Mus musculus: one gene and its partners. The protein of the gene in region 3 purifies or fractionates together with the protein of the main gene of each other region. This does not show direct contact. Links are inferred from orthologs where the notes say so. Each region holds a gene or a part of one and is shown on either strand. Other genes may lie near its edges. The genes, in order: Canx, Tmed2 and Emc1.

Region 1 (3,719 bases), on a different chromosome or scaffold from region 3:
GACAATTAAGGGACTCTAAATCCTGTCATCATTTGGGTACAAAGAGCCCCTGTAAAACACGGCCCAGTATTTACAGAACTACCACTAAAGAAAATCTCAGTGGATACAATTATTTAGTTAGACATTCCTACCTTTCCAGAACAGCAGAAGAGGATCACAAGGAACACTGGCAAAGCTACAGTCAAAATGTAGACCACCCAAAGCCATGGACGCTCTTCAGCTGCCTCCAGCATCTGCAGCACTACACCTGGCTGAAATACCAAACAACAGTAATTCAGAGAACTGGTTTATGACACCAAATACAGACTCGACTGATTGCTTCATATTCATACAACTAACTCCTTTATTTCCAAAGGAGTCAAACTATGCACATTAAGAAATTAGGAAAAGCCGAGCAGTGGTGGGTGACGCACACCTTTAAACCCAGCACTTAGGAGACAGGCGGATTTCTGAGTTCAAGGCCAGCCTGGTCTACAGAGTGAATTCCAGGACAGCTAGGGAGACACAGAGGAACCTTGTCTCGAAAAACCAAGTTAAAAGAAAACAAAACAAAAAATAGAAATTAGGGGGAAAAAAAAATCCCCCGCTTTACTGCTTTTATCATCATGAAGTTTCACCTGCATAGGTGCAAACTGTGGCTTGTAATAACTGCAAAAAGTTCCTTACTCAGGAAACAGAAGAATTATCTTTCTGCCAGTTTTCTGGCCATCCAAATCGCAACTCAACAACACCATTAGTTATTTGAAAATTCCACACAATTCCAACCAAGATTCAGCATTTTCAGTGCATTAAAACATACTTAAGCCAGGTGCAATAACACATAACTTTAATTGAAACACTGGAGGCAGAGGCAGGTAGGTCCCTGTGAGTTTGAGCCCTCCCAGTCTACAGAGCAAGTTCTAAGACAGCTAGGGCTACACAGAAAAACTGTCTTGAAGACAAAATAAAATAAAATAAAATGATAAACAGATACAAATATACACATACATATAACAGGATTGGAAAGCCAGAATAGGAGTCTAACAATTATATATTTTGACACTGAATAAGTAAAAAGATAAACACTAAAAATCTGCTTTTTATAAAGTAATCAGTCTCCCCCAAAAGTGGATATAAATCCACAATTAATGAACAATCACTAACCTCAGCAGCCCCATCAGCAGCTTTCTTCAGGCCCCACCCATCATTGGCCCAATCATCAACTACTCTTCGGTCACCACTAATGATAAAGTTGTCAAAAAAGATGTCGGATGTCATGGACCAGAGCTCCAAACCAATAGCACTGAAAGGAGTCATCTTAAAAGGTTCTAGGTCTTCAAAGAAATCTGGATTTGGTATTTTCCTTGGTTTCCAGATTCCCTAGTTTGTGATTTGGAGAGGGGAGTAGGTTGGGGGTGAGGCAGAGACAAAAGAAGTTTCAAAACATCATTTCAGATAATAACAAAAAAAGAAAATCTATGTAAGACTCATTTTATATGATCAAAGAAGATAAACATTAACTGCCAAATTTAAACAAGCACAGAACAATAAATGCTAGTAATGTTTTTATACTGAATTCTTGACTTCTACCAAATTCAGTCTCCAATCTGCAGGATCTTATTCTGAACCAACACCTGGTCCTGCGTAGCTCACTCCACCCTCAACAAGTGATGGTGGAATGTAGTCAGTAAAGCCATTTCCCATTCCCCAGAAGTGATTTTAAAAAATGGGCTAGGGATGTAGGCCAGAAACACAGCACTTACACCTAATATGCATGAGACACTGGATTCAGTCTCAATACTAATCCTCAACAAAACACAATTGGTGGTGGCCAACCGAATAGCTAAATGTTTGGTTTGGTTTGGCTTGGTTCAACAGGGATTCATACACCCAGGATAGCCTTAACCTATCCCTGATCTTCTTAGTTATAGCTGAAGTTGACATTTCAACTCCTGGTCCTCATGCAGATAACCAAGTGCTAGAATGACAAGCATGTAACAAAGACATATTCAGATAGTCAAATGGCAAGCTAAAGTATAATTTTTGTTTGATCAGTTATCTAAATGGACAACTAAAAACATTTTACAACAGAAAAGCAAACAAAATATATACATATAGATAGATGCACCATACATCTAAAAGTGTAAGCGAAAATTTATGACTATAGTTTTTTGGTTTAGAAACTGAAGCCAGGAAGGATCTACATTGGTACCTTCCCAGAACACAAGTGGAGCTTCATAGCTTCACTATACATATTACTACCGCTTCATATGTACCTACCTATCTTTGGCAGAAAACTGATGAGACCAAGCAATTAGCTGACTTGGCAAGATCCAATTCCCATCACAGTTCCCTTATAGCCAATCTATGCACTCAACAATAGGGTATCCACACCCTAAGTTCTTCTACCCTACTTTTATTTTTAGATATAGCTCACTATGATGGTTTGAAGAGAAATGGGCTCCATAGACTCATGTGTTTCAATGCTTGGACCATGGGGAGTCACACTATTAGGTGTGGCCTTATTGGAGGAAGTATGTCACTGTTGGGGCAGGCTTTGAGTTCTTGTATGCTCAAACTCTGCCCAATATGGCAGAGTCCCCTTCTGCTGCCTGCAGGCTGCCATGCTTCCCAATATAATGACAATGGAATCAACCTCTAAAACTGTAAGCCAGCCTTAATTACTTTCCTTTCTAAGAGTTGTCTTAGTCATGGTGTTTCTCTTCATAGCAATGGAAACCCAAACTAAGATAGTCACATAGCAAGTTCGAACACTCCTCTTTCCTGTTTTTTAGGTTTTATGTTTAGCCCAATATTCACCTGTCTCTTAAGTTTACTTTCTCTTTTTGATTTGCTGGCCTTACTATTGATCAAGCTTTTGCCCAGACACGAACAAATTAATAAAAACACTTAAACCATCAGGAGACACAAACCTGGTAGTTAGGGTTGTCAATCATTGGAGGCTTCCATTTGCCCTTATAATTGGGGTTGTCAATCATAGGTCGCTGCCAGACACCACACCCAGGGGCTGACTCACACTTGGGGTTGGCAATCTGAGGAGCCTCCCATTCTCCGTCCATATCCTCATCCCTGTGGAGGTATAAACAAACAACTAGTCTTATGCTCTCAACATGTTTCTGGAGCTATACCAGCAGCATATGACAGAACGATATCTCATTTCTCATTTCCACTATCAATGCACTCTCATAAACTACCTACTTTGTTTTTACCCAATGAAATTTAGTAAAGTTTGTAAGGTTTTTCACTCAAACTTGGGCAGTTGGCTTTTTATTTTTCCCTTTAGGTTTTCAGACAGGGTTTCTCTGGTAGCCCTGGCTGTCCTAGAACTCAGTGATCCACCCGCCTCTGAGTGCTGAGATGAAGGCATGTACTACTATACCCAGCTTTTTTTTTTCCCCTTTTGCTTCTTTTTTGTTGTTGTTGTTGTTGGGGGAGAGGGGCACATAGCTATTGCTTTGATTGATTGATTGATTGATTGATTGATTGATTGATTTTGGTTTGCCCAAGACAGAATTTCTCTGTGTAACAGCTTTGGCTGTCCCAGAACTCACTTTGTAGACCAGGTTGGCCTCAATCTCAGAGATCTGCCTGCCTCTGCTGGGATTAAATGCTTGATTTTAATTGGGGCAGTTTAGCAGTTAAGAACACTGGCTTCTCTTCCAAATCCAAGTGAGTTGACACATAGACAAACATTAAGGCAAAACACCAAAGCACATAAA
Region 2 (4,180 bases), on a different chromosome or scaffold from region 3:
GTGAGGATTAGATGCATTATATAATACTGGGAGGATTATATGCAGAACAAAGTGAACATTGTATTGTATTGTATTGTATTGTATTGTATTGTATTGTATTTTAGAGACAGTGTTTCTCTGTGTAATATAGCATTCACTGCCCTGGACTTGCTTTGTAAACCAGACTGGCCTCGAACTTACCTGCCAAATGCTGGGATTAAAGGCCTATAGCGGGGCTGGTGAGATGGCTCAGCGGGTAAGAGCACCCGACTGCTCTTCCGAAGGTCCGGAGTTCAAATCCCAGCAACCACATGGTGGCTCACAACCACCCGTAATGAGATCTGGCTTCCTCTTCTGGACTGTCGGAAGACAGCTACAGTGTACTTACATATAATAAATAAATAAATAAATTAAAAAAAAAAAAAAAGGCCTATAGCACCATGCCCAGCTTTCTGAACAAGGTGAAATTTTACAATATCATATGCATAGACTTCCTTCCTTTCTTCCTTCCTTCCTTCCTTCCTTCCTTCTTTCCTTCCTTCCTTTCGCTGCTGTTGCTGTGTCACCCTGGCTGCACTGGAACTTTTCTATATAGGGACCAAGGAGGACTTGAACTCACTGCTTCGCATAGATTTAAAAAAAAAAAGATTTATTTTTATTCCTTTAACTACGTGTTCCTGGGTGGGGGTGAGTGTTAGCAGTGAGCATGTAGCCAGAGGTAATTGACTTTCAGCATCCTCAGAGATTCTCTGTGGGATGGTTTTGAGTGTTCTCCACCCCTGCCAGCTTAAATAAGCAAGGTGATGGGGGAGCAAACCAAAGAAACAACAAAAAAATTGGATTTCTCATCTTTATCATCCACCTCTCAGAGACCCCAGTTTTGAGACTCACTGAATGTCTTTATCTACTCGGATAATCCTAAAACTGTGAAACCCTGTATACTATCACTTTCTGAATAAGTCCATGCGATCTTTATTTATTGCTATTATGTTTTAAATTTTATGTTTGAGTATCTGGACAGCATGTGTGTGCGGTGCCCGCGGTGGTCAGCAGAGGGGGCATTAGATCCCTTGAAACTGGGTACAGACGGTTGTGGGTCATCGTGCGAACTCTGGGACTCGAACTCGGATCCTCTGCAAAAGCAACTAGCAGGTTCTGTCGGTGCAGCGCCTTTTCGCCGCTCCTAGTCCACGTGATCATTGGCCCACGTCGAAGGGCTTGAGTGGAGGGATTGTTTTTTTGGCTCCTCAGGGCCACTGTCCAACCTCAGCATCCGCCTTGTCCCTCCGCGGCCGCCGTGCGTCCGTTACGTGGCAGCCGTCGGCCCCGGCCAATGAGCGGCGCCCGCATCAGCCCCCTTGGGAGGCGCCGCCGGAAGGGGCGGAGCTGAGGCGGCGGGCGGCTGAGGCGGCAGCGGTGGCGGCGGCTCCGGAGGCCGCAGTCCGCGTCCCGGCGTCGGCCCGTCCCGCACCATGGTGACGCTCGCCGAGCTGCTGGCGCTGCTGGCCGCGCTGCTGGCCACGGCCTCGGGCTACTTTGTCAGCATCGACGCGCACGCCGAGGAGTGCTTCTTCGAGCGGGTCACCTCCGGCACCAAGATGGGCCTCATCTTCGAGGTGGCGGAGGGCGGCTTCCTGGACATCGACGTGGAGGTGCGCGGGCCCGGCGCCCGCTCGCCGTCGGGGCGCCGTCGCGAGTCCCTCTCGGGGGGTTGGCGGGTCCCGGGGTAGAGCGCGGGGTGGCCCCGCGCGGGACAGCGCTCGACAAGGGCGCGGGCCGGGGAGGGGCCTCGTTGCCGTCGCCGCCACCGCCCGTCGCGCAGCCCTCCGACGGGCCCTGCCCGCGCGTCTCGGAAAGCGCTCGTCTCTCCGAGCGCCTTCGGGCCAGGCTCGGGACTCGGGCGCGGACTCGGCCTTTCCCCCTTGGCTTTGTCCCGCGGCGGCCGCGTGTCACTCAGCCCGGGAGGGAGCGACTCGGCGTGGTTCTCCTCGGTCCCTCCAGGGCTCGCACGGGGCGGCGTGGCGCGGAAACAAACTTTGCCGAGTAGGTCGGAAGTTGGCGGAGTAGCACTAAGGCGGAGAAAGTGGCTTTGGCAGAAACCAGCTTAACTTCCTAGCCGCATCCTTACGCAAGCGCCAGATGTGACCCGCGAGGGATGCACTGAGGTCATTTAGTTTTAGGAGAGGCTTTCAGCTAAGTGTTTTAGAAAAGTTACTTGTCTGGAGAATAAAAATGATCGGCCGAGTTGTTTGAGACAGGATTGCCTTTTGTAGTTCTTGGGTATCGAACTCACTTTAGGAGGGATAGGATGAAGGGCGTGTACCGCCGGTCCCTACAGTTTGCTGCATTCAAAAAAAAAAAAAAAAAAAAAGACCATATACAGTAGTTTTAATTTGCTTGCTAGTATTCCTGACTGGGTGTAAAGAGGGAATACAAGTAGTGGCACTCCAAAAAAGTTTGGAGACCGCATGGATTAGCCAAGACCTTAGATAAAAGATGAGTACTTCCAGTTTCTCAAGTTTTGCAGGTGGACTGGCTCTCAAAGAAGCAGGGCTCGGGCTAGAGAGATGGCTCAGCAGTTAGGGGTACATGCCGCTCTTTGTTCAATACAAGCGTTGACTCCAGACATTGGGTGCCCCTTTGGCACCTCCGTACATTTTCATGCACAGCCTTAAAGGGGGAAGGTTTGATGGTGCCTGGCAGCTGATTTGTATTGTTCCTGCTTGAGAATTCGGGTTTTCTAATTTCCAATCTAGTGCACTTCCCTAAGCCTTAGCATGTCAGATAAGTTACAGCCCTTTGTTGTTCGAAGTGACCACAAAAACCTTAAAGGTGCTTTTATAAAATTACTCATTTTGGTAGGGTGAAATAGGAGCACACCAACTTTTTTTTTTTTTTTTTTTGGTACAACTGATAAATTATATGTTAAATAAGTATCAACAGTCAACACAAATCCAAAACCACCCACCAGCCCTGGGAACAAGAAACAGCTGGTGGTTTCCTCTAGGGTGTTCCTAAGGAAGGACATGGCGGCACCCACTGTGTGCAGCACACATGACAGTGGCGAGTGGCTACTGGGATGGGGCCTGAGAAGGGCTTTGGTCTCCTGCAGGAGAATCAATGGCCTTGGGCACACTTTTAATCCCGCATTCAAGACAGGTCGCTGGATCTCTGAATCTGAACCCAGTTTGGACCAGTAATGAGACCCTATCTCAAATCAAAAATAAATAAAATTACTCATTTAGGAAAACTTTGTTCCTAGGTTGTGATTTCAGCCTTGCCAGTTTTTGTTGAAGTTAGACAGTTGGAGGCCATGTGGAGAGTTGTCCTGCTTCTCTTTCTGAGAGGTTTACATTTCGCTTGGACAGGTAATACCTAAAGGATAAAGAGTGAAGAGGTGTTTTAGGGAACTGTTGACTCTGTGCTAGTTTGATTTAAGTGGGAGAGTTAGTGCCCAAAGTGTACACTGGCTCCCTGTAGGGGGACCTACTCAAGTTCCAGCCTATTGGATATTTTTCCTGTGAGGATGCTGCTAAAGATCCTAAATGTTTAGTGAGTTTTCTGTTTCTCTCCTGCCTCCAGATCACAGGACCAGATAATAAAGGAATCTATAAAGGAGACCGGGAGTCCAGCGGGAAGTACACATTTGCAGCCCACATGGATGGGACATACAAGTTCTGCTTTAGCAATAGGATGTCCACTATGACTCCAAAGATAGTAATGTTCACCATTGACATTGGGGAGGCTCCCAAAGGACAAGACATGGAGACAGAAGGTGAGGTGTCTCTTTGGACTCAGAGCTCATCTCAGTTCAGTTCACTCATCCATCTTAGTACTGTGTGTGTGACTTTCTCTCCAGATTCATGTCTTAAAAACAAAATTCCTGTTGAAGTGGATGTTACTGTCTATTGTCAGTGATTTTGGTTGTGCCTTCTGGCAGCCATGAGTCACTCTGCTCATGTAAATCCCCAGACTCCATGGCCCTGGGTTCTGTTACCTGGCTGATCCTGGGGTCCACGTGTACCTCTGTTTCTGTTTGCAGACATGCTAGCTTAGCTAAACTCCTTCTTTTGTCTACACCTTACATTTTTCTCTAGGTGGTGGAGACTCCTGGGATGGTATGTGGTGCTTTTGTGTGACAGCATCCTGTTTTTTTTTTGGTTTAGCATCCTTTTGTTTACTGATATCTAATTTCTGATTC
Region 3 (3,719 bases):
CCAGCCCACTGCTGTTGCTGTGTGTGAGGCCTTGCACTTAGCTGTTGTTTATGTGTTAATCCGTAGGGCATCTTGGCAGTCTTGTGGATTGGTTGTTACTGACCTGGCTTGTGAATGTGCCATTGCCCAGGGCATTTTGAGCCATGGAGCTAGTAAGACTTGTTGCTGGGGTTCACACTCCAGATGGGCTCCCTAGTAAGACGTGTTGCTGGGGTTCACACTCCAGACGGACTCCCTAGTAAGACGTGTTGCTGGGGTTCACACTCCAGACGGACTCCCTAGATGTACTAATACTCTTACCCAGTCTTCTTCTGGGACATTGAATTGTATCCCTCAGCTCCTGGGATGGGGCCTCTTTAGTCCTAAAATGGGAAGTCCTGGCCTGGCCTTCTGCTCACCTTGTTGGGTCCAACTGGGGCATGGAGGTATGATAGCCCCTCAAATACTTGCTGCCCTTCATAGACACATCAGCGAGAGCCTCACCTCATTGCTGGCTTTAAAGAGTTTGTGCTTTCTTGCCAATGCTCAGATAATTACTGTATTGTGTAGACATCATGGCCTGGATCTCAGCCGACTCCCAATCCTTCTAATCTTGGGGTCCAGTACCTTGGTGCCACTTGGCATCTTACTGTTGGCTTCTAGCTGTACATCCAGGTGTTCTTGAAGAAGGACGACTCGGTGGGCTACCGGGCCTTGGTGCAGACACAGGACCATCTGCAGCTGTTCCTGCAGCAGCTTGGTAAGTGCCTCATGCAGCCATGTTTGTGTCTGCTTTAAAGTCCAGTCATTGCGGGAGGTGTGTGTGTGTGTGTGTGTGTGTGTGTGTGTGTGTGTGTGTGTGTGTGTGTGTGTGTGTGTGTGTGTGTGTATGGATGTGTGTGTGTGTGTGTGTGTGCATAGGCTTGGGAAAGATTCAAGCAGAGTGTACCATGCCAATTTACCCAGTTCCTCGAGATAGAGAAGCTTCCTCACTTGACTGCTGACCTCAGCCTCATGAGATCTTTTGCATAAGACTTGAACTCTGAGCCACCTCTAGCTGAGCTCTTACAACCTGGTTTCTTGTAGCTGGGAAGGTAAGAGTCTCCTCAGGGCTAGGCAGCCAGGCTGAGCTCTTACAACCTGGTTTCTTGTAGCTGGGAAGGTGGTGTTGTGGAGCCGAGAGGAGTCCCTGGCAGAAGTCGTGTGCCTGGAGATGGTGGATCTCCCCCTGACTGGAGCGCAGGCTGAGTTGGAAGGAGAATTTGGCAAGAAGGCAGGTATGAACATAGGGAGGCGGCTCCAGGGCGGGTCAGCTGCGTTTATGGATTTACTGTGTCCCTGGCTTCTGGGCTCAGCCCGATGTTCTGAGGAATCCTGTGGCCAGTTTCCAGTGCATCAGCAGCCCCATGGCTTATGCAGCCACACTTTTGCTGAGTCCCTCTAGTGAAAGATCCTGAGGCAAAAATGTCTTTGCTTAGTATAATAGTAGGTGTCATTGTCTAGGTACCTAAAGTTAGTTGTCAGGCTCCGTGTCACACATCTTCACCCACTGTCTCCAGTGCCACAGCTACACCTAGAGAGGTGTGATTGGAGATAGCCCGATGCTCTCTGAGCTGGCAATGGCTCCATCAGTGGTTATCTGATGAGTTTGGTTCATTCCTCTCCAGTCCCGTCCTGGCCTCCCCGCCCTTCCTTCATCCATTCATCCAGCTGTGCAGTAGGCAGCTGTTGAGGGCATCTTTTGGATCGGGTACACAGCTAGTGTTGTGTATTTTCTTAAGCTGAGAATTAACTTAACTTTACTGTCTATTTCTGCTGCTGGACCCAGCGATTCAAGGTAAATCTTGCTTTTGCTGCCTGTTACGTCTTGTGTGCCCACACGGCTAGCATTTGGTTGGCTGTTTTTCTGACTTGCAGGCACTGTGTATGTGTGGATTGTTCTGCTTGTGACTTGTTGCTCTGTCTCTCTGTGAATTGTGGTTGGTGGAAAAAGATGAGCAAAGATTATTCCCTTAATGAGCACTTCCCCACACTAACGTTAGTACAACAGATCATACGTCATATGATCTGTTCTTTATAACGGGCCTCTGGGTTTCATGCCATCTAATAGATGAGGGACCAAAGGCACAAGGTTAAGCACATTTCTTAGGGTCTTACAGTAGAAGGCACCAGGGCTGGGATTTCAATTTATGCGAGACCTTCCTCCTTATGGTATCCTGCACTTGTCTCTGAGGGAGATGCCTCACCAATGGAGTCAGAGCAAGGGAATGATGGCCTTAGGAATAGGTTGCAGAAAGGGATGCTGGGAACAGGTAGTGAAGTAGAGTGAAGTAATGGGAGACAGAAGCACTGTTCATGCGCACACCTGCTTCTGCTGCACCCGAGGCCCACACTTCTCTGCCTTCCCTTGGTTGTCACAGCATGGCTGCATCCTGCATGGCTGACTCTTACCTCTTAGTCTCCTATTAACAAGATTCTAGGTAGGTGAAGTCCTAGGAGCCAGGTAAGGAGGCTTTGGAAGATTGTGCATGGCTGCACCAGAGTGTGGGACTGCTGGCATCTTGAACAGACTGCCTGGAGTAGGACTGACTGGAAGGTCCTTCAGGAGAGGGAGAGGCCCCTCCTGGGTAAGCACACCCCTTCCTGCTGGGTTTCTAGTCTGATGGAGTACCTTCTTCCTCCCCGACACCAGATGGCTTGCTGGGGATGTTCCTGAAACGCCTGTCGTCCCAGCTCATCCTGCTCCAGGCCTGGACTTCCCACCTCTGGAAAATGTTCTACGATGCTCGGAAGCCCCGAAGCCAGATTAAGAATGAGATCAACATCGACACACTGGCTAGAGATGAGTTCAACCTGCAGAAAATGATGGTGACGGTAACAGCCTCAGGCAAGGTGAGCACACGAGCCCGAGAGAGCAAGTGCAGGTGCAGGCAGCAGGCTTGCTCTGTTCCAGTTTTCGAGGATAGAATTGATCAGTTTTTTCCTGTCACGAGTCAGCATTTGTTTTTCTTGCAGCTCTTTGGCATCGAGAGCAGCTCTGGAACCATTCTGTGGAAGCAGTATCTGCCCAATGTTAAGCCAGACTCCTCCTTTAAGCTGATGGTGCAGAGGACTACTGCCCATTTCCCCCATCCACCCCAGTGCACGCTGCTGGTGAAGGACAAGGTGAGGCCAGCCATGCCGACTGCAGCCCAGTGTGTTGCCTTTGCGTATTTCACAGCTGAGATTTCTCCCATGTTTTGGGCATTCCATGAGAAGCTCTTGGGTTGGAAGGCCTCATTTTTGCCAGTTTCTGGCCTGGGTGGAGGAGCCATCCAGCTGTGACGGGGAACTGGCTAGGAACCAGACCCACCTTCACCAGCGCAGTTAGCAGTTAGGCTATCCCTGGTAGCTGATATAATCACAAAGCTATTATGATTTCTGCCTCTAGAATTTGAATGGATTTTTGTGGATCCATTTTAGCTGTATTGTGAGGTAGGGTTTGGTAGATATTCTTTTGCACCCAACAAGCATTAGATGGCTGACTTGGTTTTGAGAGCACATGGTCTCAAATAGCCCTGACTAGTCTAAAACCAGCTATGTAGACCAAGTGGCTTCAGACTTGCAGAGATGAAGATGCTAGGATTAAAGGCATGTACCACTACAGCTGGCCCAGGACTTGACTTTGATTTGCTCTTTGGCATGCTCAGTTCTTAGCTAGACTTGGAGCTGGAAGCAGTCCCATCAGCCTAGGGGACCTG

Evidence for each region.
Region 1: the proteins of Emc1 (region 3) and Canx purify together in Homo sapiens (affinity purification with mass spectrometry; 4 studies listed by BioGRID and IntAct, with this or other methods). This does not show direct contact. The link is inferred for Mus musculus from reciprocal best matches to the Homo sapiens genes EMC1 and CANX.
Region 2: the proteins of Emc1 (region 3) and Tmed2 purify together in Homo sapiens (affinity purification with mass spectrometry; 3 studies listed by BioGRID and IntAct, with this or other methods). This does not show direct contact. The link is inferred for Mus musculus from reciprocal best matches to the Homo sapiens genes EMC1 and TMED2.

What each region holds. Positions count from the first base shown.
Region 1 is NC_000077.6:50,297,986-50,301,704, forward strand, and holds part of Canx (calnexin precursor), read right to left. Parts: intron 3,070-3,719; coding exon 2,913-3,069; intron 1,360-2,912; coding exon 1,144-1,359; intron 252-1,143; coding exon 132-251; intron 1-131. UniProt on the Homo sapiens protein: Calcium-binding protein that interacts with newly synthesized monoglucosylated glycoproteins in the endoplasmic reticulum. It may act in assisting protein assembly and/or in the retention within the ER of unassembled protein subunits.
Region 2 is NC_000071.6:124,539,411-124,543,590, forward strand, and holds the start of Tmed2 (transmembrane emp24 domain-containing protein 2 precursor), read left to right. Parts: upstream 1-1,380; 5' UTR 1,381-1,451; coding exon 1,452-1,631; intron 1,632-3,561; coding exon 3,562-3,754; intron 3,755-4,180. UniProt on the Homo sapiens protein: Involved in vesicular protein trafficking. Mainly functions in the early secretory pathway but also in post-Golgi membranes.
Region 3 is NC_000070.6:139,362,524-139,366,242, forward strand, and holds part of Emc1 (ER membrane protein complex subunit 1 isoform 1 precursor), read left to right. Parts: intron 1-642; coding exon 643-739; intron 740-1,133; coding exon 1,134-1,256; intron 1,257-1,807; coding exon 1,808-1,816; intron 1,817-2,671; coding exon 2,672-2,871; intron 2,872-2,994; coding exon 2,995-3,144; intron 3,145-3,719. UniProt on the Homo sapiens protein: Part of the endoplasmic reticulum membrane protein complex (EMC) that enables the energy-independent insertion into endoplasmic reticulum membranes of newly synthesized membrane proteins.